Sus scrofa: one gene and its partners. The protein of the gene in region 6 interacts with the protein of the main gene of each other region in a pairwise test. Links are inferred from orthologs where the notes say so. Each region holds a gene or a part of one and is shown on either strand. Other genes may lie near its edges. The genes, in order: RPIA, NADK, RAD51D, NUDT14, ACAT2, LNX1 and melanoma-associated antigen B18-like.

What was found.
Region 1: the proteins of LNX1 (region 6) and RPIA interact in binary tests that used the Homo sapiens proteins (3 or more experiments, as listed by UniProt). The link is inferred for Sus scrofa from reciprocal best matches to the Homo sapiens genes LNX1 and RPIA.
Region 2: the proteins of LNX1 (region 6) and NADK interact in binary tests that used the Homo sapiens proteins (3 or more experiments, as listed by UniProt). The link is inferred for Sus scrofa from reciprocal best matches to the Homo sapiens genes LNX1 and NADK.
Region 3: the proteins of LNX1 (region 6) and RAD51D interact in binary tests that used the Homo sapiens proteins (3 or more experiments, as listed by UniProt). The two-hybrid records come from large-scale screens. The link is inferred for Sus scrofa from reciprocal best matches to the Homo sapiens genes LNX1 and RAD51D.
Region 4: the proteins of LNX1 (region 6) and NUDT14 interact in binary tests that used the Homo sapiens proteins (3 or more experiments, as listed by UniProt). The two-hybrid records come from large-scale screens. The link is inferred for Sus scrofa from reciprocal best matches to the Homo sapiens genes LNX1 and NUDT14.
Region 5: the proteins of LNX1 (region 6) and ACAT2 interact in binary tests that used the Homo sapiens proteins (3 or more experiments, as listed by UniProt). The two-hybrid records come from large-scale screens. The link is inferred for Sus scrofa from reciprocal best matches to the Homo sapiens genes LNX1 and ACAT2.
Region 7: the proteins of LNX1 (region 6) and melanoma-associated antigen B18-like interact in binary tests that used the Homo sapiens proteins (3 or more experiments, as listed by UniProt). The link is inferred for Sus scrofa from reciprocal best matches to the Homo sapiens genes LNX1 and MAGEB18.

What each region holds. Positions count from the first base shown.
Region 1 is NC_010445.4:57,359,449-57,362,948, forward strand, and holds part of RPIA (ribose-5-phosphate isomerase), read right to left. Parts: intron 2,253-3,500; coding exon 2,153-2,252; intron 1-2,152. UniProt on the Homo sapiens protein: Catalyzes the reversible conversion of ribose-5-phosphate to ribulose 5-phosphate and participates in the first step of the non-oxidative branch of the pentose phosphate pathway.
Region 2 is NC_010448.4:63,849,620-63,853,088, forward strand, and holds part of NADK (NAD kinase), read right to left. Parts: intron 2,185-3,469; coding exon 2,055-2,184; intron 1,774-2,054; coding exon 1,665-1,773; intron 1,562-1,664; coding exon 1,476-1,561; intron 719-1,475; coding exon 616-718; intron 256-615; coding exon 101-255; intron 1-100.
Region 3 is NC_010454.4:40,052,996-40,056,976, forward strand, and holds the start of RAD51D (DNA repair protein RAD51 homolog 4), read left to right. Parts: upstream 1-1,181; 5' UTR 1,182-1,335; coding exon 1,336-1,456; intron 1,457-1,753; coding exon 1,754-1,815; intron 1,816-1,999; coding exon 2,000-2,118; intron 2,119-3,981. UniProt on the Homo sapiens protein: Involved in the homologous recombination repair (HRR) pathway of double-stranded DNA breaks arising during DNA replication or induced by DNA-damaging agents. Bind to single-stranded DNA (ssDNA) and has DNA-dependent ATPase activity.
Region 4 is NW_018084979.1:3,291,497-3,293,917, forward strand, and holds part of NUDT14 (uridine diphosphate glucose pyrophosphatase), read right to left. Parts: exon of another isoform or gene 2,376-2,421; intron 2,289-2,375; coding exon 2,245-2,288; intron 1,693-2,244; coding exon 1,628-1,692; intron 1,494-1,627; coding exon 1,256-1,493; intron 1,071-1,255; coding exon 939-1,070; intron 1-938. UniProt on the Homo sapiens protein: Hydrolyzes UDP-glucose to glucose 1-phosphate and UMP and ADP-ribose to ribose 5-phosphate and AMP. The physiological substrate is probably UDP-glucose. Poor activity on other substrates such as ADP-glucose, CDP-glucose, GDP-glucose and GDP-mannose.
Region 5 is NC_010443.5:7,610,062-7,614,200, forward strand, and holds the start of ACAT2 (acetyl-CoA acetyltransferase, cytosolic), read right to left. Parts: upstream 2,801-4,139; 5' UTR 2,694-2,800; coding exon 2,639-2,693; intron 1,925-2,638; coding exon 1,790-1,924; intron 1-1,789. UniProt on the Homo sapiens protein: Involved in the biosynthetic pathway of cholesterol.
Region 6 is NC_010450.4:40,346,535-40,350,034, reverse strand, and holds part of LNX1 (E3 ubiquitin-protein ligase LNX), read left to right. Parts: intron 1-1,784; 5' UTR 1,785-1,888; coding exon 1,889-2,280; intron 2,281-3,500.
Region 7 is NC_010461.5:22,081,666-22,084,540, reverse strand, and holds melanoma-associated antigen B18-like, read right to left. Parts: upstream 1,625-2,875; 5' UTR 1,530-1,624; coding exon 501-1,529; downstream 1-500. UniProt on the Homo sapiens protein: May enhance ubiquitin ligase activity of RING-type zinc finger-containing E3 ubiquitin-protein ligases. Proposed to act through recruitment and/or stabilization of the Ubl-conjugating enzyme (E2) at the E3:substrate complex.

The DNA of each region.
Region 1 (3,500 bases), on a different chromosome or scaffold from region 6:
GCAGCAAGTATTAAAACAGACCGAGGAGGAAAAGGAGACAGAGAACAGACCATGCTGATGACCCTGGTGACACCGCACTAAACAATGTAACGTCTAGCCTCTCTTTTGCCATTTCCTTCACTTTACATCCCTTAAAAAACCCTCAGCTTCTCAGGATGCAGTGAGGTGGAGAGCAAAGTATGGGAGAAATGTGCTCACGAAGGACATCTCAACGTCTCAATAAGCCCACAAAGGTCTAAGCAGGTGCAACAGAGCTACCGAGTGGGCAATGCAAGGATCCACCTACAGAGGAACAAGCGCCAGCACCGGGGAGCTGTTTGTTTGCACGATCACTGGGGCTAATTCTGTTATTACTAACCGTGACCTCTAGACTCCCCTTCCTCCTGCCTTTTTGGTTCCATAGTTCTTCCAATAAAAAGATAACACCAAGTGAGAGAATAAGCATAAATCTACCCATCTCTTTTACTTAGTAAATCTGGAAAAAGACTGTCACTAAAAGATTAAAATAGTAAATTAAAGTACGATTGGAAGAATTAGCTCTTTATTATTACATGGCTATATATTTTTCACTTCATACATTTATATGTATTTAATTCCCAAGAGCATGGATACATTAAAATCTAATCTAGCACATTTAATTAATGATGAAGACAGTATCCTTTCTTCCTAGCAATGTATTCATTCAACAAACACTCCCTTGTGTGCTGGGCACCCTATTAACTCATTTAATCCTCCCAACAAGCCTGTGAGGTAGGTACTGACAGCAGCGTCTTTTACAGAGAAGAGACTGAGGCAGAGAGAGAGAAACGAACCACACAGAGAGAGAGCCTGGGTTTGGATCCTTACCCAGGCTGTCTGCTCCAGAATCCATGACCAGACACTACAATCTACTAAAGACCTTACCCATCTATTAGACCCATCAGCCTATTCTGGCCCAAGAATATTTCACGTCGTGTAACATTCCCGGTTAGAATCTCAGTGGCTCAATATCATAAGTCGGATACCTCATACATCTGCCTCCTCTTTTAAATCCCTCGTAGGAGCCCCCAATACCACCTCTGGCCTGGACTCAGAATCACCTCTCCACTGCCCTCCAGCCAAGCCCCAGGTCCCCAGTACAAGCTGCACTGGAGGCTCCCCACTGCTCCGCACGCTTGTGTCACACGACCCCTCCCCAATCTGGCTCTTGAGGAAAGGGCTGAAAGGCCAGGGTCTAGGGCAGACAATCAAGGCGCCCAGCTTGGTGCTGAGAAGCCACGCACACATGTCCTCGACCTGCGTCCTCCTCTATAACCATCTCATTAAGTTAGGACCAAACGAGACCTTTTCAGACACTTGGCACAGTGTCAGAAGTCACCACTCCTCTGTGGAAGAAGCAACTCCAGACTCTTGGCATTCCACACTCTGTCTTATTTGTAGGCACAGCTCCCTCCAGGCTCTGTTAACTCTTCCTGAGGCAGACCCTACGTTCCACGGGCGGGAGATGCCCCATAACACGTGGCATGCACCTTGCCTGTGGCAGGTGCCTAATGCATGTGGGTGAAAGAGTCACTCTTTCCCAGAGAACATGCCAAAATCAAAGAGGCTGCAGGAGTTCCCACTGTGGTACAACAGGATCGGAGGCATCTCTGGAGCTCTGAGACGCAGGTTCAATTCCTGGCCCAGCACAGTGGGTTAAGGATGCAGCATTGCCCCAGCTGTGGCTCAGATCTAATCCCTGGCCCGGGAACTCCACATGCCACAGGGTGGCTGAAAAAGAAAAAAAAAAAAAAAAATGAACCAATCCTACTTTTACAACATTATAAATCAAGTCTACTTCAATAAAACTTTAAAAAATAAAAGAAAAACAAAAAACAAAGAGGCTGCAGTCAGGCTCCTGCAGGGAGAGGGTGGGCTGATTTCAAGGCCAGGCCCCTCTGACAATCCGTCAGCTCCAGACCTATCCCTACTGAAACAGGCTGTGAACTGCCAAATAACAAAGCTGCTGGGTGAGCTATGACTATTCCCAGAGGGGAAAAAGCAAAAGTGTTAAGTTAAAATCCCTAGCCATTGCATAAAGGAAATTCTTTCCATGATGCCTCCTGCTGCCCAAGGCAGGGGACAGTTCCAAGGGGCATGGGCATCCAGGCTCAGCGAGCACCGCACACGTTACCTGGGATCATGGTGATAGCTGTGTTCACTTCACTCCATTTGTGGACCCGGTCGAACTTCCAGTCCAGGATAAAATTTCCATTATCTGTCACCACAGGTCCCTAGAAGACAATTTCCCACATTTACAGAGGATGTAGATACAGGTGGACAGAAAGGGGTAGAAGAGCAGAAGTGCTAACCAAAGACCAATACTTAATTAACCTGTTCTAACCAGTACCCCCGCCTTGTGCTCCTAGAAGGCAGTGCTACAAAGCAATAAGGAGCAGGAGCTTGGAGTCAGAACTGGAGTCTTAAAGCTACACAGGGTTTAGATCTCAGAGAAGCTATTAACTTCTGTGAGCCTCAGATTCATCAACTGCAAAAAAGGGAAAATGAAACATGCTTCATAAGGCAGTTTATAAACCACATGGGGAAGCATTTAGCACAGTGGGAGCTCACAATGGGGGCCCACAGTGAGGACTCCACGATTCTTAGCTATTATCAGAGTGAAAAACCACAGCAGGGAGTTCCCGTCATGGCTCAGTGGTTAACAAATCCGACTAGGAACCATGAGGCTGTGGATTCGATCTCTGGCCTTGCTCAGTGGGTTAAGGATCCGGTGTTGCCGTGAGCTGTGGTGTAAGTTGCAGATGTGGCTCAGATGGCACGTTGCTGTGGCTATGGTATAGGCCGGCAGCTACAGCTCCGACTGGACCCCTAGCCTGGGAACCTCCATATGCCGAGGGAGTGGCCCTAGAAAAGGCAAAAAGACCAAAAAAAAACACCCCACAGCAACAGAAGAGACCACCACCAAGGTACAACACTCCCACAGCTTCACATTAGGAACCATCAGTAACACGAAGACAATGCACCCCCTGGGTTCAGGCAGCCCCATCAGCAGACAGGGAGCAGAGACAGGTCCTAGAGCAAACAGGCTGGGAGTAATTTTAGTTAATTTATCCACGACAGCTTTGGGCACTTTCTAGAGTTGAGGATCACAAACGGTGACAGAAAACACTACAGTCAAGGGCAAGGAAACGGGACTCCTCTGCAAACTGGAGGAGGCGGGGTGGGAGCCCAGTTAAGAACCCCACAAAGGCGAGGTGCTGGGCTATTGTGTGGCCCCAGCCATGAGAGAACCCCCACTATCTCTTCTTGGCTTTTCAGCTACACAGGGAGCCAGAGTCTGAGCTCTGCACAACCACCATGATTGGGACTATGACTTAAAAAGTCACCAAAACGCCGGGAAAAAACACAGCAAAATAAAAATTCATCAGGGTAGAATTACAGATGAGTTGCTTTTTTTTCCTGTTATGTTTCCACCTTTTTATATAGTTCTGACTGCAACTACAGTTAGTTTTTGGATGATT
Region 2 (3,469 bases), on a different chromosome or scaffold from region 6:
CTCAGGGGCTGCAGTGCCGGGCGGCCCTGGGCGCTGGCAAGGTCCCGAGGGCGGGGGGGGGCACAGCCCGGGGGGCGGGGGGGGAGGGACCCGGACAGACCTGGTACTGCATGACCTGCTTCCCGAGCTCCGCGTCCAGGGCTGTGGCCAGCATTCCGTGCTCGCTGACCCCGTTGGGGACGGCCAGCTTCTTCCCGCAGAGTTCCTTCACGACCCTGACCTTCAGGCGGCTCCGCAGAACAATAGCCGCGTTGCCTGGGGGCCAGCAGGGGTCACGCCCAGGCCGGTCAGCAGGGAAGGGGGCTGTGGCGCCCACAGGAAGAGAGCCCCCCTAGCCAGAGACCGCCCCCCTGCCCTTTCTGCTCCCAAACGAGCACCGCCCTGCCTCCTGTGGAGCTCAGCTCACTGCCCCCGGGCACGTACAGAGGCCTGATCCTGTGAGAGCTCCAACGTCTCACGTCAGGGAAAAACGCTTGAACCACCCCAAACTCAGAAGTCTCTGAGTCCTGAAACACTCAAATGTGGTCCTACGCATCATTAGAAAAAACCCACGCCAGGTAAGAAGACAATCCCGCCTCGGGGACTGCTCGAGGGTTCTGGAACATTCCAACTCACCCTGTATCACCTGAGTAACTTGGGACTGAAAGTTCTCAAAGTTGAAGGGAGTCAGGAAGCCCAGGGAGCCCAAGTGGAACGCCATGACTGGAGGCACGCTGCCCTGTGAGCCGAGGAGGCAGGTCACTCAGAAGCCCCGGAGCCACCCCAGCCCTGACGGACCCTCGCCCGCCTAAGCCCGGGAGGGACGTGCGCTAGGTGCACGTCGGTGCCCGCTGCGGGGAGGGGGCGGACTCAGAGGGGGTGGTGCATGAACGAGGTCAGCCAAGGGTCAGGGAGGCCAGGGGAACAGTGGCGGAGAGCGGGGACCCTGGGGCAGGTTCCGGGAGCGTGGAGAGACCGCAAGAGACAACGGGGAGGAGCAGAGGGGCCAGGGGTGGAAGGGCTGCCCCAAAGGCAGTTCCGCAGCCCCTTGAGAGCTGCTCCCGCAAAGGAGGGAGGAGCAGGTGGGGCGGGGGCGGGGGGGCGGGGAGTGGGGAGATGGGGAGGGCACCCGTGGTGGGAGCTGAGAAACGACGGCTGGGCAGCTCTGAGGGGGTGGGATACCTGCCAGGACCCTCGCTCTCCTCCTCTGCCCAGTGGGAGCCGTGCGCGGTCCAGCCCGGTGGCTCGCAGCACGTGGTGCCCAGCCCGCCGGCACCCCGCTGGGCTCTGACGGTCGGCCTGCAGCTCCTCCCCAGCGCTGGCCCATCGCCCAGCAAGGGGCCAGGCCTGGGGCCTCCTCCCAGCCCAGCCCAGGGGACCGTCAGGGGCCTAGCACAGCTGCCCACGCCTGCAGACCCCATCGCCAAATAATGAACTGAAGAGACACCACAGCCCCGCTGGAGCAGGACCCGGCCCGCACGGCGCCAGCACCCCACCTGGAAGAGCGAGGAGGCGTAGAGCAGCGTCCCGTCGCCGCCCAGGCAGATGATGAGGTCGATCTGGTTCGAGATGTCGTCGTAATCTATAAGCAGAACAGCAGACGCCAGAGCAGCCTTCAAGCGGCCTGGCGGCGGTGGCGGCGGCGGGGCGGCTGCCCGGTGGGGCGGGGCCCGGGGGCAACTCGCCTTCTCGGAAGGTGCAGAACCTCCTCTTCATCGGCCCGAAGTGGTCGTCGCTCACGAGGGCGGGGTCCTCCAGGACTTTCTTCTCCACGTACACGATCATGTTGTTCTGCTGGAAGGCGCCACCCGTCAGCCCGCCGGTAAGACGCGGCGCGGCCTGGGCTGTCCTCGAGAAGCCCGCTCGGCGCCTTGGCCCTGCCGGCAAGGGGAGGCCGCTCCCCAAACCGCCTGCCCCCGCACAGCCCCACTGCACCGGCAGGAGGCGGGAACGCTCCTGTTCCTGCAGCTGTGGTCGGAGCGGGGGTCAGGGCACCGTGGTCCCAAGGAGCCGTGGGTCCGAGGCAAGGCCGGTGCGAGCACGGGGGTGCGGGGAGCTGGCCGCTCGGCGCTCACCTCCATCAGGTACGTGCAGAGCTCCCTGAAGGGCTGGAGCAGGCTGGCATCCCGGACCTTCTTGATGACGAGGACACTCTTGGGGGACTTGTTCCACGTCAACCGCTGGCTGGCAGGGTCCTGGATGTGCCTGGGAGGGGAGGGGAGCATTCACACCCGCCACGGCCGCACTGAGGGCTGTCCTGACACGACCACGAGGCTGCTGAATCCCGGGCAGCGTCGCCCCCCCCAGCACCCCTACCCTCGGCTCCTCCGCAAGGTGCAGCGGGACCTGCCCCCGAGACACGGCGCAGGCGCCCGAACCGGCCCAACAAGGATCGGCGGGGGCAGGACTCAGAGGTGGGGGTGAGCCGCTCGGCTGACCCTTAACCTTCACAGTCAAAACCCACTCTGTTTCAAAGTCAAAGGCAGGATTTGGGGCAGGGAGGCGGCTCTGCGCCATCCCAACGGCTACGAGTCATCGCACGTTTGTCCACAGCTCAGGACGCGCAGCACGAGGTCCCGGAAGGAACTAGGGACTCGGGGTGGGCCGAGGTCCGCGCAGGCTCACCGCTTGTAACCAGCGCCCCCTCTGCGGGGATGCTGAAGGTGGGGGAGGCTCAGGCTCAGGGGGCGGGGATGCGGGACCGCTCCCTTCCCCTCGCTTTTGCACAAACCTAAAACTGCTCAAATAGTTAAAAAATAAGTCCCTGCACCTTGGTCCCTGCACCGGCGAGATCCCTGGGCAGCAAGTCCCCTTGGGGGCAGGGGTGTCCTGAGGCTGAGCCCCCTAGCGGGGGCTATGACTGCCGTGTGTACCCCAGAAATGCCCGCCAGACTGTTGGGAAACAGCCCTGAGATGTGCGTGGCAGCAAAAGACCTGCCCTCTGACGCCAAGTCCCCAAGACCTGCTCCAAACCGTACTTCGAGGGACAGCGCCTCCCTCAGCACCTGATGGCCTCGCCAGCAACTTTCAAAATCGTGATGCGAACCCCTAAAGGGAGGGGCGGGTCCCTGGCCCTGTGCTCCGACCACCCATCACTCACCCTTTCCAGGCATTTCTGCCAGGGGAAGGTCACCCGTTACCTCCTCTGCCTGGTCTCAAGCGGGGCCCTGCGGGGGCTGGGGCTCTGTGCACAGCATCTCGGCCATGCTTGGTGAACGGCAGGAGAGGAAGGCAAAGCAGCGCCCCAACTCCCCACCTGCACCCTGGCTCCAAACACCTCCTTTCTGACCTGCTAACACAGCGCCTTGCGAGAGGCCGTGTCCAGAGCAGCGTCGGGCGCCTCCTGACCTAAATGCACACCAATCAAACTGCCTTCTCTCCTCCTACCTCGGGGGGACCCTCCTGGCGAATCGCCACTGAAAACAAACGCCACGCCCGAGCTCTGCCGCCCCGGGTGGTCCATTCCCGGATGGTCCATCCCATCGGGCTG
Region 3 (3,981 bases), on a different chromosome or scaffold from region 6:
AGTGACTTTGTCTACAGGCTCTATATCCAGAAATCCTAGGCAGCAAACCTCATATGTCTTAGCTGTGCAGGCACAGGAAAAACCCAGATGGTTCATAGCTCACATATACCCAGGTTTACTGCTAAAACTCTAAATTCTACTGAGCCCTCACCCCAGTGTCATCACGTCTTGAGGGATAGTGGGTGCTTTCAGAGGCAGACAGAAATGGGCCAGATGTTTCTGTTCTCAATGAAACCACTTCACAGTAGGGAAACATATACACAACTTGGGGGTGGGGAGGGGGCGCTGTTAAAACAGCACTGGCTTTGCACCGAAATATAAATTCGTCTGCTCCAAGTCCAGCTCTGTCCTTACAGGCTGTGAAACCTTTGGCAAGTGACTTTACTGCACTGAGCCTCAGTTTCCTCGTCTGTAAAATAGGGGTAAATACAGAACCTACCTCACTGGATTGTAAGAGGATAACCTTGTAAAGTTGTTTTCTCTCTTCCAGAGGGTAAGGTTAAGAAAAGATCTTTCAAAATACCAAATCACATGGTGTTCCCATCGTGGCGCAGTGGTTAACGAATCCGACTAGGAACCATGAGGTTGCAGGTTTGATCCGTGGCCTTGCTCAGTGGGTTAAGGATGTGGTGTTGCCGTGAGCTGTGGTGTAGGTTGCAGATGGGGCTCGGATCCCGCGTGGCTGTGGCTGTGGAGCGGGCTGGTGGCTACAGCTCCAATTAGACCCTTAGCCTGGGAACCTCCATATGCCATGGGAGCGGCCCTAGAAAAGACCAAAAAAAAAAAAAAAAAAAAAAAAAGTGTGTGTGTGTGTTCTATATACTCAGGGTTTTTACTGTTGATCATTCAAAATTACTTTTATTTGGAAAACAGAAGCAGATGTCCTCTCTGCGCGCTGCTGCTTTCAAGCACCTATCAGACGACTGCTGAGGATCTGATTAGATTCTTTGTCACTGTCTTCCCTCACCAACAGGTAGGTCCCTGAGAGTAGGGATGGTGGGTCCCATCCAACGTTCTGGACCAGCGTTCATTATGGAAAGTGGCACCAGGGAGGCTGGCGAGGAGGCGTGATGGGGAAAAGGCAGGGGACCCAACTTCGTGCCGCCCACGCGGGGCCGCGGGAGCCCTCCCGTCCGCCCGGCGGTCGGCAGGTGGCGCCGCAGGCCAGGCCCTGGAGCCTGGAAACCGGAAGCGGCGGCGGGGCCGGGCAGGCAGGCTCCTGGGCGCGGGAGACCAGGCAGGGTCCACACCCTGTGCGCCGCCTCCTCCCGACGCCAGCCCCCAGCGTTTGGTCCGGAAGGGGGTGCTGCGGGGTGTCTGGAGAGGGCCTCGCGGATGCCCCCAGGACCAGCGGCCCCGGGGCCTCCAGGGAACATGGGCGTGCTTCGGGCCGGACTGTGCCCCGGCCTCACTCAGGACATGGTCCAGCTTCTGCAGAGCCGCGGGATCAAGACAGGTGACCGTGGGCGCGCGCCTGTGCGGGCCACATGGCTGGGCCCAGCGCGGAGGCTGGCCCCGGCCCTGGCCCACTGGGTGGGGCCCCTCCCCTGCCTCCGACGCCCACAGCCTTCTGGCAGAGCTTGGGAGGGTGGGACTGGGCAAGCCCCGCTCCAGGAGGGCTAGAACCCCCCACTGTGGGCTAGGCGCCGCGCCAGCCCCCGCGGCTCCGCTAGTTCGCGTAGGCGAGGAAAAGTCACGGGCGGGAGTCTGGGGCCTCCCTTGCGCGCATCAACCCCGCGTGTTTTGTTTTCAGTGGTGGACCTGGTTTCTGCAGACTTGGAGGAGGTAGCCCAGAAATGTGGTTTGTCTTATAAGGTGAGCTGGCGATCTCCACACTCCAACATGGGTGTCTCTAAATGCCCATCCCCGAGCAGAGTGTCCCCAGAGATTGATAAGGGGGGGGCTAGGAGACCCTGGATGGCCCCCTCCCTTGGCGGGTCGCTGCCGCACACTCCCGGCTGCTCCGGCAGCTTCCTGAGTTGCCCCGCCCCTTCCGCAGGCCCTGGTCGCCCTGAGGCGGGTGCTGCTGGCTCAGTTCTCCGCTTTTCCCTGCAATGGCGCTGATCTCTACGAGGAACTGAAGACGTCCACGGCCATCCTGTCCACCGGCATTAGAAGGTTTGTGTGTGTGTAGCTGGGGCAGAAGGCGAGAGGCCAGAGGCTCTGGCTGGGCTTTTGATGCTTGAGAAAGAGCAGGCTGCTTCAGCTGTGGTTGAAGGAGACACGGGAGGGGGGTCAGGATTTCTGAGTTATCTTACCCTGTACAGAGTTTCTCTGACTCCTAACCACTTAGGATGCATAATTTTGGGGGTGGCTGTCTTGTGCATATAGTAGGATGTCTGGCAGCATCCCTGGCCTCCACCCCAGTAGATGCCAGTTACACCCCTCTCCTTCATAGGTCATGACTATCAAAAATGGCTCTAGCTGTTGCCAAATGACCCTGGGGGCCAAAATTGCTACTGGTTGAGAATCACTGTCCTGTAACACAAGATGTCAGCACTTCCACAGATATTATTCCACAGATCAGAGCAACTTTTCTCTGGCCCTTTCTGCCCTTTCACTTAAGGATGGGGCAGGGAGTTCCCCTTGTAGCTCACTGGGTTAAGAACCTGAGGTGGGTTAAGTATCCATAAGGATGCATGTTTGATCCTTGGTCTTGCTGAGTGGCTTAAAGATCTGACATTGCTGTGAGCTGTGTAGGTCACAGACGGGTCTTGGATCTGGTGTTGCTGCGGCTGTGGTGTAGGCTGGCGGCAGCAGCTCCAATTTGACCCCTAGCCTGCGAACTTTCATATGCTGCGGGCACAGCCCCAAAAAGAAAAAAAACGATGGGGCAAGAGAGCACAACTGAATACCATTTATTTGAGTGCCTACTATATACCAGCCAGGGCTCCAGCCCTGGCGCACTTGATCCAGAACCTGGTTCTTTCGCTGTACTCTGCAGCAGGAAGGGACAGGAGTGATTTATGTTCTGCTGTGCAGTTTGGAGAGGGAACGCGTTGGAAGAAAACAGGCGGCTTCTGGCCAAGGAAGGCTGACCTCTTTCCTGGCCTGTTTGTACAGAATTTGATAAAGAGCACTGCCACCACCAAGGTCTTTGGATTGGTTTGGCCTTTGCTCTTTCCCGTGCATGTCCTCTTGGCAAGGTTCATATAGCATGGCGCCTGCTTTCTGCAGCTGGGGGTCCAGGTCTGTCATTCATCAAGCACTGGCCAAGTGCCTATAGGTGACAGATGTATGCCAATGATACGAATATGCGTGAGGCAAGGCCCTCGCACTTAAGGAGTGTGGGGTCTGGTGGGTAGAGAAAAGCAAGGGACAGAAGAGAGGGGTGTGGGCACGTGTGTGTTGGGGGTGGTGACTAACAGGGAGCAGCCTTGGCCTTTGGGAATTTATAAAACCAGCCCAGGCATTCCCACTGTGGTGCCACAGGACCAGCAGCATCTTGGGAGCCCTGGGATACAGGTTAGATCCCCAACCTGGCACAGTGGGTTAAGGATCTGGTGTTGCTGCAGCTGTGGCTTAGGATATGATCCCTGGCCTGGGAATTCCATGTGCCATGGGGCGGTCAGAAAAAAAGAAGAAGGGGGGTTCCCGTCATGGCACAGTGGTTAACGAATCCGACTAGGAACCATGAGGTTGTGGGTTTGGTCCTTGGCCTTGCTCAGTGGGTTGCCGAGAGCTGTGGTGTAGGTTGCAGACGCGGCTCAGGATCCCGCGTTGCTGTGGCTCTGGCGTAGGCCGGTGGCTACAGCTCCTATTAGACCCCTAGCCTGGGAACTTCCATATGTCACGGGAGGGGCCCTAGAAAAGCCAAAAAACAAAAAAAAAAAAAAGAAGAAAAAAACCAGCATATACTGAAGCAGCATTTCGGAAACAGTCAGGTGGAAAATTGGCAGAATGGCAGCTGCCATGGGTCACTGCAAGGGACTTCACTGTCTGGGAGGCTCTGTGGAGGAGGCAGGCCTTGGGCAGTCTGGA
Region 4 (2,421 bases), on a different chromosome or scaffold from region 6:
GGGGGAGCGCTCGGCTCCAGCCCCTTCCAGGCCAGCCTCCCCACAGCCATTCCTCATCTCTAGAGCACAGGCTGAGCAGGCTACACACTGCCTAGGGCCCTCCCTGGCTCCCGAGTACCCTCAGCATCAGGCCAAGCCCAGAGGCCCGGCTTGCGGAACCACAGCAGCCAGGGCTGCCATCCCCCCGCCCCATGCCTTTGCCACGCAGCCCCTCGGCCGGGACTCGGCTCAGACTCACCTCCTCGGGGGACCCCAGCCGTCCAGGGCACCTCCGCCTGCCCCCGGCTCGCCCCTACCCTACCTAGCTCAGGCCCCTTGGATTCTCCCCCCGCCCCCCAAACCTCCAGCCCAAAAGGCTCCAGGGCCGAGTGGCCACCAGTGGGCCCCGTGGAGGGTGCCTGCACATAACCAAGACCCCTCTCCCTGAGAGGCTGGATCCTCCGACGTAGAAATCCCACACTGAACGGGGAGGCGCCAGGCCCTGGATCGTCTCCTTCGGCCAACTCCGTCCCCACGCTCGAGGCCCTGTGTGTTTGAGGCAGGGCCCCACCCTGAGTGGCCCCTGCGCTAGACTAAAGGTGGCAGAGCTTCCCGAGGCCCCCTCCCCGTCTGGAGAAGGTCGCCAGGGGCTGGTGCTCAGCGTCGGGGGCACTTCTCCTGCCGGGGCTTCACCGGGGTCAGGGACCCATCGCATGTCCCCAGGGGAAAGGCAGGCTTCGGGCCACCATCCTGTTCTGGGAATGTGGCCCCAGTGTGACCTCCCGGGAGCGGGTGCAGGCGGGCACCTAGGCTCTGAGGGGCAGCCCTGACGTCCAGGCCCCGGGCTGCACTTCCTCCCCTCCCAGGAGGGCCCGAGCCCCACCCCCCCCACCAGCCCCGGCCCAGGACTCTCCCTCCCCTCACTGCCGAGCCGCCGTCCGAGCAGACCTGTGACTCACCCCACCGCCAGTGCCCGGTGCTTAATCCCGCAGGAAGTGGAGGCATCAGTCAGCAGCAGCTGCCACCCGAGCAGGCCCCACACGGCTCGGGGCTGCGGGGGGCGGGGGGCTACAGAACAAGGCCCTGGAGCCCTGGGTTCCGGCCTGGATCAGGAGCTGAAGGGCTGTCCAGCCAACCTTCCCAAACAACTCCAGGCTGCAGAGCAGGGATTCGCCCTGCCTGGCACGCCTCTGGGGACGGGGCGCTCCCTGCCCCCCGGGCAGCCCGGCCCAGCCCCTGCGCTGACTACGGGACCCCACGGCCCAGCCCCACTCACTTGTACGAGGCGACCCGGCGCAGGTCAGAGGGGGCCAGGCGGTAGCCGCACTCCTCCCAGGCTTCCTTGCAGGCAACTTCCTCCAGCGAGAGCCCGGGCTGATCCACGAGGCCGGCGCACAGCTCGAAGGTCACCCCGGCCGAGCCGGGCAGCGCTGCCGGCAGCTCCCGGGGCCTGTCCTGGTCGGCGGCGACCAGGGAGCCGGGGAAGAGGCGCTCCACCGCGCCAGCATACACAGCTGGGCGGGGGCGGCAGACCGCGGTCACAGCCGGTGGCGGCCCCCTCCACGTGACCGGGGGCGGCCTCAGGCTCCCCACGTCCGCGCCCTGACCCGCGGGCCTCCCCTCCCCGCTCCCGCTCGGGCCCCCTCACCTGGCCGGAACTGCTTCACCAACACCAGGCTCCTCCGGGAAGCGTTGAACATGAGAAGGGTCACACTGCAGCGGGGACAGTGCTCAGCGCGCCGCCCTGGGGGCCCCGGCGTCCCATCTCCTGTTCCCAGCATGCCCAGCCCACCGCCTCTCCTCAAAGGCCCGGGAAGGTGGGGTCCCTTGTTCAGAGGGACACTGTGAGGCCAGGCCGGGTCAGAGGTCCCCAGGGTCGCGCAGTCAGGCCAGGACCCAGGCCGAGGGCACGGGGTGGAAGGACACGCTGGGCGGCCGCTGGGCAGGCTGGGGGCGGCAGCAGCTGAGAACGGGTGACTGACAAGACATGTGGCCCCTGCTGGCCAGCTGTTGCCAGCTGTGCTCCTGAAGCCACACTGCCACCCGGCCCACACCCCCAATGTCAGGGGCAAGGGCACCCGGGCGGCCTCTCTCGGGTCCCAGAGGGCCCGTCGCCCACCACGGTCCAGGAGGTCTGAGCTCGGGGCCCAGGCCTTGGGCTGACCCCCCAGTGAAAGGAAATGAGGGCGGGGACTTCAGAAATACAGGGTCCCCGTGGGCATCAGGCTGGGGCTTCCCCCGTGGCCAGCCCGGCTGGGACCTCACCTGTCATGAGTCTTCACAAAGTCCCACGACTTCTGGGTGCCGTTCTGAAAGAGGCGGGCAGCAGTCAGGGAGGGCGGAAGGGCTGCCAGTGCAGGCGGAGGTGCTCCGGGAGCTGAGAGGGCCACGCAGACCTGCCACACCAGCTCCGACCAGGGAGACCCAGTCACCGCCCGGGTC
Region 5 (4,139 bases), on a different chromosome or scaffold from region 6:
TCAGTGGTGTCTTGTGAACGCTGGGACGCAGGTGCCCAGCACAGCAGGTTAAGGATCCAGTGTTGCTGCAGCTGCAGTTTAGGTCACGGCTGTGGCTGGAATGATCCCTAGCACAGGCATTGAATATGCCGTGGGGTGGCCAAAAAAGAAAAAAAAAAAAGAAACCTCTTATGTTCCCATCGAGACTCTGCAGTAGCAAACTTGACTAGTATCCATGAGGGCACAGGTTCGATCCCTGGCCTTGCTCAGTGGGTTAAGGAGTTGGCACTGCCTTGAGCTGTAGTGTAGGTCACAGATGCAGCTTGGATCCTGCGTTGCTGTGGCTGTGAAGTAAGCCGGCAGCTATTGCTTCGATTAGACCCCTAGCCTGGGAACATCCATATGCCACGGGTGTGGCCCTAAAAAGACAAAAAGACCAAAAAAAAAAAAAAAAAAAAAAAAAAAAGAAAGAAAAAAAACAAGAATTATGTGAAGATACCACAGAGGTGAGATGTGAAAGAGGTAACAGAGAAACCAGGGGTGGAGGCCGCTATGCCACTGACGAGGCTGAGCTGAGGGTCTGGGAAGAAGAAAGGCGGAAGTGGCCTAAGAGCAGCCAGCGGGGTGCTACCCATCTATTTAATGCCTTGGAGCAAGTGGCGTGCCTGATTTGTCCACAGGCCAAGTGAAGGAGAATGAGGAAGAGGAACTACAAAACTACGAAGGAGATGCACCGAAAAATGGGCCAGGTCTCAGATCAGGTCAGGACCAAGGTTGGCTGTAAGCATGAACCATTATCCCTATGAATAATTAGAATTTATGCAACCGAGTGTACGAGAAACTAGTTAGGAATAGCTAGGAACTATCAGTGGCCGTAGGTGTATAAGCCCAGCGGGAATCAGAAGTAAGCTGAAGCATTCCAGGTGGTTCACCGGTGCCCGCCCATCCAGGGGTGGTGACTCGCCCTTCCCTGGGAGAACCCACCTTGCCAGCTCAGAAGCGAGCCGTGTGTGGGCGGGGAACCGCCCTGACCTGTTCTGGGGAAGCCCTATTCCCACCACCTTGCACAGCTTTTGCTTGGAACTCAAGAGATTTGTGTTGGGTTGGATTCTGGCCGCACCCATGGCATGCACAGGTTCCCAGGCCAAAACCAAGTCGCAGCGGTGACAAAGCAGAATTCTTGACTCACTGAGCCACCAGGGAACTCCTCAAAGAATTTCAATACATTTTTATTGAATGTGTCCCACTTTAGGGAACTATGAAAGGCCCTGCATATACATTCTCTCATGCTTCAGGCTGATCCTGCTTCTAAAAACTGAAAAAGCAGGAAAAGATGGTGATCCAGGATCGCTCTATTTTTTTCTTTTTAGGGCCACACCCATGGCATATAGAGTTCCCAGGCTAGGGGTCCAGTAGGAGCTGTAGCCACTGGCCTTTGCCACTGCCGCAGCCACAGCCACGCTAGATCTGTACCATGTCTGCGGTCCACCACAGCTCACAGCAACGCTGGATCCTTAACCCTGAGCGAGGCCAGGGACTGAACCTGCGTCCTCATGGATGCTAGTCAGATTCACTTCCACTGAGCCACGACCGGAACCCCTAAGGAAAAGTATATTAAAGACGCTTAGTGTTCTGCTGAGAGAAGCTATTGATGGGGCTTGGCACAGGGACACCACGGAGTATTCTAACAGAGAGAACGCCGTCAGCAAACGTGCACAGACAAGAACTTAAGTTTCTGTGTGTTTGGAGGGGAGGGTTAATGGGCTGTTTCTAATAAACCTGACTTCTGCCTGGGTCACTGTGGAGTTACCTGCTGTCAAAACGTGTCCAAATATGACCTCTGATACCTCCTTGGGATCCACATTGGCCCTCTTCAGGACCTCTCTGATGACAGTCGAGCCCAGGTCATGGACAGGAACGGTGGACAAAGCACCATTGAAGGAGCCTAGAACAGAAGGGAAGGCGAGGGCAATGGGGAGGGCGCCCAGGGCAGCGGGAGCTGGCGGACCGGCGCTTTCCCCCTGCACAGGCGCCCACCGCAGCTCGTCCGGGCACAGAGAGGGGCGTGTGTGACTCGCAGCAGACGCACCCCGGGCAGGTGCCCCCCAGGGCGCGCCGGGAGGCTGCGGACCTGCAGAAAACCTGCCCATCCATTCCCGAAGTCTGAGAGGATGGGCGCAGCCCACGCCTCCCTAACAAAAAGGTTGACACTCTAGCGCATCCGGGACTCTTGAAATCTACACCGACACTGGGCAATTCTCACTAATCCTCCTTTACCTAACGCGACTCCTGCCCAGCGACCCGGCTGGGTCCACCGTCTCCATGCGCCTGTGGCCACAGGGCCGAGGTGGCGCTTCCAGGAGCTGGCCAATGAGGAGCGTCGCGAGAGAGCGACTCTCTTCGCCTCGCAACGGGACAGGCGGAGGGCGCAGTGGTCCCACCCAGGAAGCCAATCAAAGCACTCGGAATAGACAGGCCCTCACCAGGCGAGGAGGGGGGCGGGGAAACCCGACCGGCCGAGGAAGGCGCGAGACGGCGGGTTCCGAGGGTCCCGGAGGGCGAGGGGGGAAGTCCGGGGGGCGGGGAAGGGTGGGGTCCCTGAGATCCGGCCCGGCCGAGCTCTCAGCTCAGACCCCCGCCAGGCTTGCCGATCGCTCACCTATGACGGTCCGCGCCGCCGAGACGATGACCACGGGGTCCGAGCCTGCACTCATCCTTCTGCACAATCGAGCTCCTCCCGAGCTGGTGTGGACTCCACGCCGCGAGCGAGTGAGCAAAGCCCCGCCCTGCGGCTGAGAAGGCAACCCGGGGGGCGGGGCCTCAGACAGCTCTCCGCCCCCTCCTCCGCGGGCGCCAATGCGCAGGCGCGAGGGCGGAGTCGGGCGGGGCTGAGGGGGCCGCGGTCCCAGGACGCGCTGGTGGACCTCGGACACAGGCCTAAGCCCACCGCCAGTGTGGAGTTTAATCTGAGCAGCCCGGCGTTGTCGTTCCTGTCTTGACGTTTTTATTTGGGGGGATAAGGTTGTCTATTTTGAGCTTAGGTGGAGTCCTGCCACCTGCAGGCCTGCGGGCGGTTCTCATGTGCTTTTTGCTCGCTCTCGTGGCTTCCAAAGTTCTTTTGTGTTAATTCACTTAGGGGTTGACTTGGTTCTCTGGACTCCGCGCCCTTCTGTGGGGTTGGCCTTCTTAGCCTGGAAGATGAGCTGTAGCGGTGTGTGAGGAAGTCGCAGTGACTCAGTGTCCCCCAGATAAAGGGGTCCTCTGGTTGACAAGAGGGACAGTCTGGAAGGAGAGGAGCGTTAATAACAGGTTGGATCACTCTTCTGTTTAAAACCTTTTCCAATCTCCTATCCCCTACTGGGCAAGGTTCAAAATCTGTCAGTTTCCTTGGGAACCTCAATGCCTGGCCCCAGTCACTTTCCAGTCTCAGCTCTGGCTATTTCCCGTGGACGCAATCCTCAATGTAGTCTAATCTCCCAGAGCTCCCAGGGAGAGGTCTTGTTTTGTCTTTTTCTTCCGCTCTTTTTTTTTTGTACTTTTGTTTTTTATCGCAGAACCTGTGTCATATGGAAGTTCCCAGGCTAGCAGTCAAATTGGATCTACAGCTGCTAGCCTAGGCCACAGCCATAGCCTCGCCAGATCTGAGCCACATCTGCGACCTACATCACAGCTCCCAAGGCAATGCTGGATCCTTGACCCACTGAGCTAGGCCAGGGATTGAACCTGAGTCCTCATGGATACTAATCGGGTTCTTAACCTGCTCAGCCGCAAGGGGAACTCCAGTCTTTTGTTGTTGTTGTTGTTGTTGTTATTGTTGCTATTTCTTGGGCCGATCTCGCGGCATATGGAGGTTCCCAGGCTAAGGGTCGAATCGGAGCTGTAGCCACCGGCCTATGCCAGGGCCACAGCAACGCGGGATCCGAGCCGCGTCTGCAACCTACACCACAGCTCACGGCAACGCCGGATCGTTAACCCACTGAGCAAGGGCAGGGACCGAACCCGCAACCTCATGGTTCCTAGTCGGATTCGTTAACCACTGCGCCACGACGGGAACTCCGGGAACTCCAGTCTTATTCTCTCTAGCACCTGGGACAGTGTTGGACACACAGTAGGGACTTGCTTAATGCTTATCAAACAGATGTTAATGCATTTTCATGATA
Region 6 (3,500 bases):
ACAAAGTTTATGATTATCATTTTTTCTAACTTCACTCTCCTGCAGCTCATTAAGAAAAACAACTGAAGGCCAAAAAAAATGTTTATTGATTGATCATCCAGAAGACTTCCTACATGTTAACTGGGCATGTTAAAAACTCCATCTTAAACTCCTATACCAAAGGGAGGTACACAGTGTGATAGAATTTTACCAGTTTGAATAAACATACGTATAATTGAATGAAAGAAGCCTACTAAGAGTTCCCACTGTGGCTCAGTGGAAATGAATCCGACTGGGATCCATGAGGATTCGGGTTTGATCCCTAGCCTTACTTAGTGGGTCGGGGATCCAGCATTGCCACAAGCTGTGGTGTAGGTCCCAGGTGCAGCTTGGATCCCATGTTGCTGTGGCTGTGGCGTAGGTCAGCAGCTGTAGCTCTGATTTGACCCCTAGCTTGGAAACTTCCATATGCCATGGTGTGGCCCTAGGAAAAAAAAAAAAAAAAAAAAAAAAAGAATACTATTAGAACGAAGCAAAAAGACTCCTTATAAGAATTATAACTTTCAGTTTACAGGCCAATTAAGCTTGACTGGAGATAGAATGACTTCAGTGGCCAATGCATGTAAGAATAGTTAATAGTTAGAAAGCCCTTACTATATTCCAGGCATAATTATAAAAGCTTTATGTCTCATATCTCATTTAATACTCACAACAACCCCATGAGGTCACTATTATTACCCTCATTTTAGCTATGGAAACAAAGGCCTCAATCATTGGCCCACAGTGGTGGTAGGAATGGCCCAGGCCATGTGGCTCCAGAACCTACTTCATCACTAATGACTAGAATAAATGCAAGGCACACAGCAGAAAACAGTGCTTTCATCACCATAAATTACAACAGCCTCAACTGCTCCTAGTTCCTCAGATGATTTAGTTGAAGATTCTGAGGTCCCATATTTTCTGAGTTTTGGAGAAAAGTTGGGGCAAGAATCAGAGAAAGCCATCAGAGCATTTACTGTTTCTTCTTCTTGTCCTGATCTGACAAAGAACATATTATATATATGTGTGTGTGTGTATTTTATATATATATATATGTATGTACATTTATGTATATATGTATGTGTGTGCATATATGTGTGTGTGTATGTGTATATATATATATGTGTGTGTATATATATATATATATTTTTTTTTTTTTTTTTTTTTGCTTTTTAGGGCCGCACCCATGGCATATGGAGGTTTCCAGGCCAGGGGTCCAATCGCAGCTACAGATGTTGGCCTGCACCACAGCCACAGCAACACCAGATTCGAGCCACATCTGCAACCTACACCATAGTTCACGGCAACACTGGATCCTTAACCCACTGAGCAAGACCAGGGATCAAAACCTCAACCTCGTGGTTCCCAGTCAGATGCATTTCTGCTGCTCCATGATGGGAACTCCTGACAGAGAATTTTATAGATCATTGGTCTATTGGATTAACAATTTACATTTCAGAAGGCAGATTTCTGGGCACATCGCAGATTTTACCCAAATGATTTTCATCGCACCAACAGGAGGATGTTAATGGTAAATATTATTCCCACTGGAATAGGTGGTTAAACTGAGGCCTAAGGAGGCAAAGCCGCTGGCCCCAGGTCACCTCAGTCACCCTCGTGGGCACTCACCCTGGCCTCCCTGGGGCACAGCTCATGGGCACTCACCCTGGCCTACCTGGGGCACAGCTCAGCTCAGTTCTGTCCACTAGCCGCATTGCCTCACGTCCATGATAGCATCTTCAGTGAGCAGTCTTGCTCTCTTTCAGGTTTGTGGATGGCACCAAGAAGATCTTGATTTGCTCCAGAGGAAATACTGTATCCCCGGGGTTGGTTTCCTGTGCTCCTGCCCTGCCCTGCTGCCCAGCTGACCATGAACCTGTCAGACCCCGCTGATGAACCGGACCTCAGCCCTGCACCCCTATGTGTGGTGTGTGGCCAAGCCCACTCCCCCGAGGAAAACCACTTCTACACTTACCCAGAAGAGGTGGACGATGACCTCATTTGCCACATCTGCCTGCAGGCACTGCTGGACCCTCTGGACACTCCCTGTGGACACACGTACTGCACAGTCTGCCTCACCAACTTCCTGGTGGAGAAGGACTTCTGCCCCGTGGACCGCAAGCCTGTGGTCTTGCAGCACTGCAAGAAATCCAGCATCCTGGTCAACAAGCTCCTCAACAAGCTGCTGGTGACCTGCCCATTCACCGAGCACTGTGAGGAGGTGCTGCAGCGCTGTGACCTGGAGCATCACTTTCAAACAAGGTAGGGAGGGGCTCCTCCTCGGCCAATCCTGAGAAGCCCCGCCCTCATGGTGGCTGAAAGGGCGGGGCCTTCCGAGGCCCAGGTGCGCTCAGAGATGGTCCTTTCTCTGCCTTCTGCTTTGCAACCAGAGACAGTATTCATTCAAAATAAGAAACGTTTTAGGTGTTCACGGCTGTGGTTCCATATGAGGAAAGAGCACGTGGTAAAATTGTGGGATGTGAGTGTACGCTTGTGCTTATAGGCTGGTTTTTTCTATAAAATAGACATAACATAAAATTTACCATGTTAGAATTTTAAGTGTACAGTTCAATGACATTGAGTACATTCATTTTGTTGTGCATCCATCACTAGCATCCATCTCCAGAACTTTTTTCATTTTTCAGAACTAAAACTTCACATCCATTAAAAAAAAAAATGAGTTCCCACTGTGGCACAGCAGGTTATGAACCCAAATAGTATCCATGAGGATGCGGATTCCAACCCTGGCCTCCCTCAGTGGGTTAAGGATCCAGCATTGCCATGAGCTGTGGTGTAAGTCAGATGCAGATAGGATGTGGGGTTGCTGTGGCTGTGGTGTAAGCCAGCAGCTACAGCTCTGACTCAACCCCTGGCCGGGGAACCTCCATTTGCTTGCAGGTGTAGCCCTAAGTAGAAAAACAACAGCAAAATGCATAACTTTCCATTCCCTCCTCTCCAGCACTGATAACCACCATTCTACTTTCTGTCTCTATGAATTTGATTGCTCTACAAACCTCATATAAGAAACATTGCTGGTGTCTGTCCTTTGTGACTAGCTTATTTCCTTTGTGTGCATTCAAATTGTGAAAGATACTGAAAAAAATGACAAGAAGCTTTCTCTGGGGCTTACAGTCCCCTAAAAGATTTCCTAGTAGGCATTGCCTGTCTTTTTATGTAAGAAAAGCATGTCTCCTAATTTGGCCCATGATTGTTAGAATTGCCTCTGCACAGGAAACCTTTGGGAAAAGCCCAACCATCCTTTGAGGTATGGTATTTTCAACTAAGTTTTAAAAGGGAGAAATTTAGGAAGTCCCTTTTGTGGCTCAGTGGTGACGATCCTAGTATCCAGGAGGATGCGGACTCGATTCCTGGCCTCGCTCAGTGGGTTAAGGATCCAGCGTTGCCCTGAGCTGTGGTGTAGGTCAAAGACAGGGCTTGGATCCAGCATTGCTGTGGCTGTGCTGTAGACCTTTGGCTACAGC
Region 7 (2,875 bases), on a different chromosome or scaffold from region 6:
TAAATCTATTAAATTAAATCTAATAAATATGTAACTGAAATAATTAATAAATTTAGATTCTGCAATTATTTCTACCTTCTATTAAAGAAACAACATTTAAAATATAACCAAAGGAAAGAAAAAGTGACAGGAAGGAAGGGAGAGAAGGAGGGAGGGAGGAAAGAAAAAAGAAGGGACAAGAAAAGGAAGGCAAAAGATTAAACTATAAGTTTACCATAGAGAACAGAAACACAAAGATGATATACGCTGTGTTCTTTCCAGACCCACTGGTCATCCCCCACTTAAAATGTTACTGCTCTTTTTCCACAAGGAAAACAATATTTCTTAGATTTCATCATTCGAAATACAACCTAAAGAAAGAAAAAGAAAGGTAAAATTCCAAGTTAGCAATATATAACAGGAATACAACGATGATATACTTCTCAAGTCCCACCCTAGCCCTCCACCATTAGAACATTGCCACACCTTTTCAACCAAAAGTGAAGAACTGTCCTCGGACTTCACTTAGCATGGGAGAGGTTGCTGGCTGTGGCCCTGGAGCGCACACTGGCCATGGCCGCAAGTCGAGCCCTGGCTGCAGCTCTGGCTTGGGCTCTTTCTTCCTCATCTCTCAGAGCCTCTTCGTACCAGGATGGGAATGCACTGGGCACAGTATCATGAACCTTGGCTAAAAACTCCAGGACTTTCATCTTGCTGGTTTCAGCATGTGCCCTTGGGCCCCATAGGAACTCATATCGAGGAGGATCACTGTCAGGAACCTGACGGTACTCCAGGTACTTTAGCTGCACCAAATCTTCAGTGATAACCTTCTTGGGATCCCCATAGAGGAAGTGCTTCCTCTCAGCATATACACCCATCATATTCAGCACTTCCCAGATCTCCTCTTCAGGGGCACATTTGCCATTCATGAAGATCACACCCAGTACAATCATTAGAAGGCCAGTCTTGGGCATGTTCTCTTCTTCATTCATCGTTCCATCAAAGGTGAGGTCTAGTTTGCTGACAAGGGCATAGCAGTGCCTGGTAGGATCCACTTCCTTCAAATCAACACCAAAGGCCAGCTCCATGTGCTCAGAGGCTCTCTTGAGGATCTCATTGAAATGATATTTGTACTTTTTAATAACAAACTTCAGCATGTCTGCCTTCGTAATTGGCTCTTTTTTTTGATACTTTTGCAACAGGAACTGTACCAACAAAACCACCTTCTTGTTTAAAGGATCTCTGCGTGAGCCCTCAGTGCCCCTGGAGGATTTTGAGCTTTCCTCCTTTTGGCTGCTGGTACCTTCATCCGAATTGGTGCATGAAACAGCTGCACTAGCATCGGTGGTTCCCTGTGGCGCCTCAGGAGTGCTAGGTGTCTCAGCAGCAGATAAATTCTGAGGTCTGTCCTCAGTGAGAGCATGGACCAGGGACAGGGACTCTCCTGCTGCTGCGGCAGTAGCCTGAGCATCTTCCAGACCCTGGGTCTCAGCACGGGCCTGGCGGCGTTTCTCACGGGCTCGGAGCTTACTCTTCTGTCCTCGAGGCATGATGACTTTGGTCAGGGACAGTAGGCACAGTTGTTCAAGCAATTAGGTTTTTGGAGAGGTCGCCCTAGAAGACAGAGAAAGAAATGGTGTGCACAGCCTCAGCAGGGAGATTCTTCCACCTTGGCTGCCAAGAAAAGCTGCCTTTGCTGATTTTCTTAGGGGTACTGTTTTAGGAAACCACAAAACAAGGGTGGTGAGACTCTGTGGACCTCCTCTGATCTGCAGAGGCTTGTGATCTCAGTTCTAACCCAGTATACTAAACTTGGCTCCTGACCAGTCTTTTAACTCCTCCTGCTCTTGACTTGAGGCTGCCCCTTCAGACCAGGGCTTCTCACACCACAAATTCTCCCACTGAGAGTTGGGGAGGGGCATTGGGCCTAACAGCCCTGTTTGAGCCCCTTGGGGTTAAGGGTGGGGATGGAACATGTCAGAATATGGCGGGACTTTGCGAGGACACCTCAGTGCTGGGAGGAGTCTGTCCCTTCAGTTCAAACAAAGATTACTCACCTTGACATCAGTCCAATCCTGGAACTCCTCCCTCTGCTGATATGGGACCACACTCCTCAGACCTAGGCCTAAGTTTCCATGGCTGGTGTGGCAGAAATCAGGGTGAGCACTTCTTGCCACGCCCACCCCATCCTCCCAGCAGGAGTTATAGCAGGGGTGGGGTTATGGGGAGTTCTATCTCGGTTCTGGGAGACTGAGGAATCATGCAGAACTCTGGAAGGAGTTTTTCGTGACTCCTGACAGGGCCTGGGACTTCTTCCTCTCCTGAGATAAGTCAGCTGGCCTCTGACCAAGGTTCTCATTTCACTCAGAATCCCAGGTAGGAAGTAGGGGGGCACCTGAGTCTAATGGGACTGACAGTAGGGGCCCCTTTGTGGCCCCTTAATTTGGGGGGTTCCTCACTCAGTCTTCACTCAGTCCTCACTCAGTGTCTTACCTTGATGCCTTGTAGGTGCTGGGTTACTTCCTTGCTGATTCAGTGCGAAACCTATCAGGTAAGGCATAAGCCCGTAAATAATTTAAGAAGAATTGACATCTGTACAATATTCTACTCACCATAAATAAACATAATATTGTTCTATTTGAGTCTTCTTTTACCTTAGTGCATCAGTAATTTTTTTTTTTCTATTTGCTTCCATAAAGATCAAGTTTGTTAGTTCTCTTTTTAGGTGTATTTGGGATATCAATGCTATTTTGAATGGTGTTATTTTCTATTACATATTCTAATTAGTTATTTGTTTTGTGTGGAAAGAGTCTTGGTTTTGGTGTGGTGATCTTCTGTACCAGCTTGCTTAAGTTCCTTATATATTTTAATATTTGGCAGCCAGTTTCTTTGGTGT